2 linked regions of the Yarrowia lipolytica genome follow. The protein of the gene in region 1 interacts with the protein of each later gene in a pairwise test. Links are inferred from orthologs where the notes say so. Each region holds a gene or a part of one and is shown on either strand. Other genes may lie near its edges.

The links.
Region 2: the proteins of YALI1_B22793g (region 1) and YALI1_E13727g interact in a protein complementation assay, tested with the Saccharomyces cerevisiae proteins (2 studies listed by BioGRID). The link is inferred for Yarrowia lipolytica from reciprocal best matches to the Saccharomyces cerevisiae genes SAC6 and ARC15.

The regions. Positions count from the first base shown.
Region 1 is NC_090771.1:2,276,880-2,281,683, reverse strand, and holds YALI1_B22793g (uncharacterized protein), read left to right. Parts: upstream 1-2,138; coding exon 2,139-2,159; intron 2,160-2,206; coding exon 2,207-2,262; intron 2,263-2,322; coding exon 2,323-4,117; downstream 4,118-4,804. Other genes in the region: YALI1_B22820g (uncharacterized protein), read left to right, coding at 1-644. UniProt on the Saccharomyces cerevisiae protein: Binds to actin, and functionally associates with actin structures involved in the development and maintenance of cell polarity.
Region 2 is NC_090774.1:1,370,726-1,373,833, reverse strand, and holds YALI1_E13727g (uncharacterized protein), read right to left. Parts: upstream 1,105-3,108; coding exon 886-1,104; intron 750-885; coding exon 501-749; downstream 1-500. Other genes in the region: YALI1_E13718g (uncharacterized protein), read left to right, coding at 2,042-2,650; YALI1_E13708g (uncharacterized protein), read left to right, coding at 3,011-3,108. UniProt on the Saccharomyces cerevisiae protein: Functions as a component of the Arp2/3 complex which is involved in regulation of actin polymerization and together with an activating nucleation-promoting factor (NPF) mediates the formation of branched actin networks.

The sequences.
Region 1 (4,804 bases):
TCGAGAATCCCAGTTGCATGATCCAGGCTGTGGGAGTCAAGTCCGACGACGGTATGGGCTCTGCGTACCAATCCAACGTGTTTGGACCATGGTACATGGTGCTGGAGCTCACCGAGCAGCTCAAGAACGGCGGAAAGGTCATCTGGATCAGTTCCATCACGTCTTCTGAAAAGTACGTGGATCTGGAAGACATTGAGCTGATTCACAACAAGGAGCCATACAAGGGCTCGAAGCGTCTTATTGACGTGGCCCACAACTACTACTCGCCGAAACTGGAAGAGGAGCATGGTATCTACTCGTACCTGACCGACCCCGGTATCTTCACCTCCTCCTCGGCCTCCGAGTACCTCAACATCTTCTCTGCCTTCGGCATGTATCTCATGTTCTACTTTGCCCGGCTCATTGGACTGACCACCATGAACATTGACCCTTATAAGGGAGCCAACGTGCCTGTGTGGGTGACCTTGAGCGAGGACCCTTCAGCTCTTAAGCGAGAGTATCGTTTGGGCTCGAGAACAGGAAGATGGGGTACGGAGATGATGGACGCTACAAAGCTGCAATATGAGGGAAGCGAAGAAGTCGGAGCATACATTGATAAGGGTGTGGGAGAGTGGAGAGAGAAGTTGAAGGATCAGATTAACTAAGCCAATTGAATGGAGTAAAAGTTGATGAGGCAGTGGAGCTAGCTTAATAGACTGCTGGTTGGAGACTGTCAGCTGCCTTAATCTGAGCATGACTTGCTTCGAGACAGTGAAGGTGTCGAAGCTTGAGAGAGTATCCCAGTGTAGCCATCGCTTACATTTCAGTCTATACAAAACTTGGTAACACCGAAATTAACACATTGGACAATGGACAATGATGACAACTGTCATACAAGTGGAAGCTACGCGTGATTAGGTATTTCCACAGTGAATTGTTTTTAGAGGTCATGACTACTCTGCAAGTATCATACTGTCCTTTACTTCAAGTAGAACAAGGTGGCTACAGTCCTTTAACTCAGCAATTGGCCACTGTACATACTTAACAGGTGGCCATCTATGACTACAGTACGACAGCCATACCAGTCTCGTCATCTGCGGACTTGCCAGTGTCAGTGAAACTTGTGTATTGACATATCGTTGCGCACCATACAGTAATTGAACATATATGTGTATCTTGTCAGTATACAACCAGTCAGGCCCATCTCTCATTCGCACCTACACATCTGTAAACCACACTCACGTGACCATCTTACCTCAATCAATATATTTTGCCAAACCCACCCTCCACCTGATGACCCTGCCATCAGTGTTGCACTATAGTACATATAAGCGATCTTTCTTGTGGCTGCTCGTATAACCTCATTTATATACGTCATGTCGCATTCGCGTCAGACGTTCTATTGTGCCCATTGACAATTGCCTAGGAAAATAAGACATACTGAAGGCAATCTCGATACTCTATCTGCATACTCGATCGACTTTGGTTTCAATACTACCTACTTTTGAGCGCCCCACCGCCTTGCCACTCCGGCTAAATGGCGGATACAAGTAACTCCATCCGGATATAAGGTTTTGGCGATATATAGGAAAATCTCCTTCGAAAAACAATATTTCGCTGTTTCAAACCAGCTGAGATTTTGTTCACTGCCTCCCACTGATACAATTCTCTGCTATCTCTGTCTTAATCGTCTAGCTCTTAATCTGAGGGGTATTACCTTTAACAAAAGTTGCCCCGCTCAATCTTCTGACCCTAAAAGCCAGAATGTTGCGAATCAAAATCAAAATCAAAATTATGAGAGGGGCCACTAAGAAAATGATTTGTCGTGTACTTGTAGAGACTCGGTTGTCACGTCACCAGTATGAATAGGTCACATGACACGCTTACTCCACAGCAGATTTCTAAAAATAAATCCGCCACCGCAACTGGTGCACAGCCCTCTACACTGCCTCCGCCCCATATGACCACCTACATTGTTCTATTCCCTGGCCGGGTAACCCCCAACCAGCCCCCAAATTAGCCTTTGCCACTTCACTAGAGTTGATGCAGTTGCATATGCCCACTGTGGTATCTCCGAAACCAGAGACGTTCTTATACTACAGTTTAATACCTGGTACATCGGTACGAGTTATTGTGCGCAAAAAGAACATCTTTGCAACATGAACGCCATCAAGTTACAGGTGAGTACACGACGGATCCTATACCCATTGACCTCCTACTAACCCAGAAAAAATTCCCAGTTCTCACCCAGGAGGACATTTTTGGTCTTTGCGACTCTTTCCAGTGAGTATAAAGCCGCAACATGCGAAATATCAATGATGGATGGAAAAGTGACTAACACAGGCAACTGGATGTCGATGAGAAGGGATACATTGACAAGAATGAGGTGATCAAGGCTGTGGCCGCCTCTGGACGAGCCACCTACGACGAAATCCGAGAAGCTGTTCGAGAGAACATCGTGGACTCGTCGGGTCGAGTGGAGATGGATGACTACGTGGAGCTGCTGGCCAAGATTAAGGAAGGTAAGGGATCCAATCCTAGTGTGCGACAGGCCCCTGCTTCGCCTGGACGAGCCAACACCAGCCGAATTGTGGTTGGAGGAACTGCCTCTGGTACCCAACACACCATCAACCAGGAGGAGCGAGAAGAGTTCACCCGTCACATCAACTCGGTGTTGAGTGGTGACGCAGACATTGGCGACCGACTACCCTTTCCCACAGACACATTCCAGGTGTTTGATGAGTGTCGAGACGGTCTTGTGCTGTCCAAGCTGATCAACGACTCTGTACCCGACACCATCGATACTCGAGTTCTCAACTTCCCCCGAAAGAAAGCCCTCAACAAGTTCACCATGACTGAGAACGCCAACATTGTCATCAACTCCGCCAAGGCCATTGGTTGTGTGGTTGTCAACGTGCGAGCTGAGGACATCATCGACGGTAAGGAGCATCTGATTCTAGGTCTCATCTGGCAGATTATCCGACGAGGTCTGCTGTCCAAGATCGATATCAAGCACCATCCCGAGCTTTACCGACTGCTGGAGGACGACGAGACTCTCGAGCAGTTCCTGCGTCTTCCCCCGGAGCAGATCCTGCTGCGATGGTTCAACTACCACCTCAAGGCTGCTGGCTGGAACCGACGGGTCAACAACTTCTCCAAGGACGTTTGTGACGGTGAGAACTACACAATTCTCATGAACCAGTTGAAACCCGAAGAGTGCTCTCGAGCTCCTCTTCAGACCCAGGATCTGCTCCAGCGAGCCGAGGAGATTCTCACCAACGCCGACAAGATTGGGTGCAGAAAGTACCTGTCTCCCTCCGCACTGGTTTCTGGAAACCCCAAGCTTAACCTGGCCTTTGTTGCCCATCTGTTCAACACCTGGCCCGGTCTGGACCCCCTGGAGGAGAACGAGAAGGTGGATATCGAAGACTTTGACGCCGAGGGCGAGCGAGAGGCTCGAGTCTTCACCTTGTGGCTTAATTCACTCGATGTGGATCCCCCCGTCGTCTCGCTGTTCGAGGACCTCAAGGACGGAAACGTGCTGCTGCAGGCGTACGACAAGGTTATTCCCGGATCTGTCAACTGGAAGTTTGTTAACAAGCGTCCTGCTAACGGAAATGAGCTCATGACCTTCAAGGCCGTGGAGAACACCAACTACGCCGTGGAGATTGGAAAAGCCAACAAGTTCTCACTGGTTGGAATCGAAGGAAACGACATTACGGAGGGCCAGAAGACTCTGACCCTGGGTCTGGTGTGGCAGCTGATGCGACGAAACATTGTGCTGACTCTGGCAAGTTTGTCGCAGGGCGGAAAGGAAGTGTCCGATTCGGACATGCTCAAGTGGGCCCAGGGCCAGGTCCAGAAGGGTGGCAAGAGCTCTACCGTGCGATCCTTTAAGGACTCGTCGTTGGCCAATGGTCACTTCCTGCTGGACGTGCTCAATGGTCTCAAGCCTGGTTACGTTGACTACGACCTCGTTACGCCCGGTGACACTCCTGAGGATCAGTACCTCAACGCCAAGCTGGCAATCTCTATCGCCCGAAAGTTGGGCGCACTGATCTGGCTGGTTCCCGAGGATATCGTCGAGGTCCGATCTCGACTGATCCTGACCTTTATCGGATCTCTCATGTCCATCTGAGCGTTTTTAGAGGACTTGTGAGCTGTTTTGGGTCACCTATATGGGCGAGAAAGCTGTCTACTTGTAGCCTTATTCCGCTCCCTGTAACGATATTCAAGAGTGTATGTAATGAATTGTACCATTTCCATGACATTGTAATCGTCGTGCTTGTACGTACGAACTTGTGCAACTAATCACGAGTAAGTACAAGTAAAAAGGTATTACTTGTACAAGTACTTGTAGTTCTTGTGGTCGCTACTACAAGTAGTGGTCATATCGGTCTTGATGTAAGAATCAAGTGATTAATCAGCCGATCGTATTGTGTCGATTTTTTGAGATTTTTGATCGCACGTAATTGCAAATTGCAACTACAAGAATGGTCATCGCCAGCACAGAAATAATTACACCGTACCCACACGTAACATGTTAGAGCAATTTGACAGAGAGTGGGGGTTAAAATACTCATTTTAATTACAGCATGACAATGGAATTCTTTGTTTCTAGGTTTTAAAGTTTATTTAATCACGTGATTTGTATGTCACTATTTTTTAATTTACATAAGGTTCAAACTAAAATCCGCAATAGTTTAGTGGCTAGAATTTCCGCCTGTCAGAACCTCTGTTCAGCACGCGGGGGACCGGAGTTCAATTCTCCGTTGCGGAGGTTTGGTTACGGCCATATCCTGGTGAAAATACGGCTTCCCGTCCG
Region 2 (3,108 bases), on another chromosome or scaffold:
TAATTACATAAATAATCATGATATCATTCAAGTGGTAGATGGAAAGTGGTCCTAACAGTTGATCTCATACCCACCTACAGTTTTTACTAGTCAATTGGATGATCATATGTAAGAAGACAATGACAACCCAAGGGGCATCATCTTAGACGATGCCATGTCGTGGAGGGAACGTGAAGGTCCATACATTAACAATATTGATAGTTGGCAGATCCACTGTGTCTATGACAAGTGAACTCACACATTATTCACCGTTGGTACTGGCCAATGGACGACATAGACTGAAGCAGCTCTTCGATAGGCTCTACACAAGAACACTGACTTGCAGTCTACACTTGATTTTGTCCAAACAAAGATGATAGTTTACATTCATTTACATCATTAGCACTGCTACCGTTATATGATTGATCTGCAACGCTTGTAGTTTACAATTGCGAGAGAACCTCATAATATTTACCCACATCCATCCGCTGTTCGAGGGGCTTGTAGTCGCTTAAACTCGCTTAAACAGTTCGTCGATCAGACATGTATCGAACGACGGCTCCCTGTCCGGTGATGTCCACGGTCTTCTCGTACCAGGCAAGTAGGATGGCGCCGACTCCTTGGGACTGGCCCTGTGGCGAGCCCATGGCCTTGTACAGGTACTTGATGAGCACATCCTGCTGTTCCTTGTTGAGAGCCTTGACCACGGATGGGATCTCGGCCGATTTGGTTGCGCTCAGAACCTCAATTACAGACTTGAGGTGGGCGTCCTGGGTTAGTACGTGGGGTCTGGCGGTTGTTACATTTAAAAGACAACTGATTGTGTCCCCAGATGTCGGTTGATCACGAGCTGATGGGGGTTTCACTTGCTGCCAAGAGCAATCGTTTCCACCGCTCCATACTCACCTTTACCTTGTCATCACCACCGTAAGGAGCAAAGTCCAGCGCAATGGGAAGGGCAGCCTTGGCCTCTCCTCGAGAAATGGCTCCTCGGATTTCCGTGGCCACCTGTTGCTGCTCAGCGGCAGAGACGGGCTTGCAGGGAGGAGTGAGATCCTCCTTGGAGATGAACGAGTCTGGGTCGTACTGGTCGACGTCAATTCTTCGGAAATCAATCTGCGACATGGTGTGTGATGTGTGGTGTGTGCTGCTCGTGAGTTATTTGCAGGTGAGTGGGATTTGGTGATGTGCTGTGCTGTATGCATTATCAGAGTTTGGGAGGATGAATGGTAGGGCAAGTTAGAGGTGATATCCGATGACTTGAAATGGGGGTAGATGACGCATTATTCCAGATGTGATTATACCAGCGGATAGCTCGTGACATGAGATTCACTGGGATATATTCAAATCTCTTGTATCTTTCCCCAATCAGGTTCTAGGTCCGATATTGTCCAAAATTGGAGTAATGAAGGCATGTGTACCAGAGAAAGTCGTATTTGAGCACCTGTACTCGTTTCCAAGTCAATTGACATGGAGCTCCCTCAAAAGCTCTAGAATCAAACCATCAAACCCCACAAATACACCACAAAGGAACCCCGCTCGGCTTCGAACACACAACCACAAGACACACAGGATGGCCCGAGTCATCAACCGCAGAAATAAGCTCACCATAGTGCATTTATGAACACCATCCAGGACCAAGCGATTACTGGACTACAGAAAAGCGTTGGCGCATCATGTGATTGCGGAATGACAGCAGACGGCTATCAAAATCAATAAAATACACCCTGCGTGTGAAATAAGAGCACGTGACCGGGACTGCCTTTTGCCACGTGACCTGTCAACACGCCAGATAAGCTATCTGTCTATCTCTGTTGTCTGTTGGCTACAAAGTAGCTACTGTACGATCTCTATTTCGAAAGAGGCCTACGCATCAACAATCACGTTCTTGCTAGTGAGATACAACCAACAACTACTGCTAACGGCAGCTCTCTCTGTGAAGAGCGAAATTGCGCAGTGTCGGCGGGTATCTATCTGAGCCGGCGTCTCATCTCGCTAAGATACTCCATCGAGACCATTTGCAGGCCTCTCAAAAAGGAAATCAATTCCGAACCAAATAAGCATGACGTGCATTTGGCGGTGGACTTCGATGTGGAGAAAAAGGTGGCAGGAGAAAGCGGTGAATGTAGGGTCAAGATGCGTGAACACATTGCCCACTGAGGGGGAACAGAGCACCACCAAGGGTGAAATTGACCTGATAGAGCACAATAACTGCCCTATGACCACCAACACCCGATCCAGCAAACACAAAAATCCTTACCAGCTGCCTTGTCAGACTCAGAAACACACCTCAAAACCCCAGACGTTAGACTCCGACGCTAGCCCGAGTATATATATTGAAGAGGTTAAAATCATGTGTACCGAGCAAACATGCCAGTCAGACTCTACTGTGGGGTGCGCGGGATGTAGCAAGAGTGGAGGTATAGAGCCGACTTCTCTCAAATTTATCGATTGCTCCAATCGCGCAACTCGAGGTCATGTGACCCACCTTTGGCAGGCCCCATGTCTACTCGTACGTAGATGTACTGGTAGTCATTCATTGGAAGGTCCCTTCTATTCGCAACCCAATCATACAGTGTCTATTCTGTATAGGGTGTGTCTGTCGATGAGGGGGGGAGTTGATGTTCCATACAACGCGATGATAGGGACGGTTTGGCGACATGTCACGTGATCTATTCGAAGGGATACAGGGTCAAGATATGATTTTCATGTTTTTAATTGTATATTTGCTCCCCTTTGGGCCCCTTTCACCCCACCAACCACTTACATAACATGGTTTGCATTTGACTTCTTTTTTTGAATTTTCTTTGCATCACCACCTACACTAATACTCCACCAGGCCTCAAGAAGCAACGCTACCAGCGACCAGGAAGCAAGAGGCACGAGACCGAGGCGAACAAGGCGAATACCACATCCCCCGCTTTACACGCATAGAGCCCACGTGACCTAGGAACACGTGAATTTTTCGGGCAGAATCGGAACCAACCACTCACAAAAAAAAAACACACCTACATTCTACAGACACCACACAATGACGGAGCCGACAAAAGCCGCCGAACACACACACAAGAGCGCCGAGCAGGCCCAGGCACAGCTTCTCAAGGCGGAAAAACAACAGCAGCTGGCGCT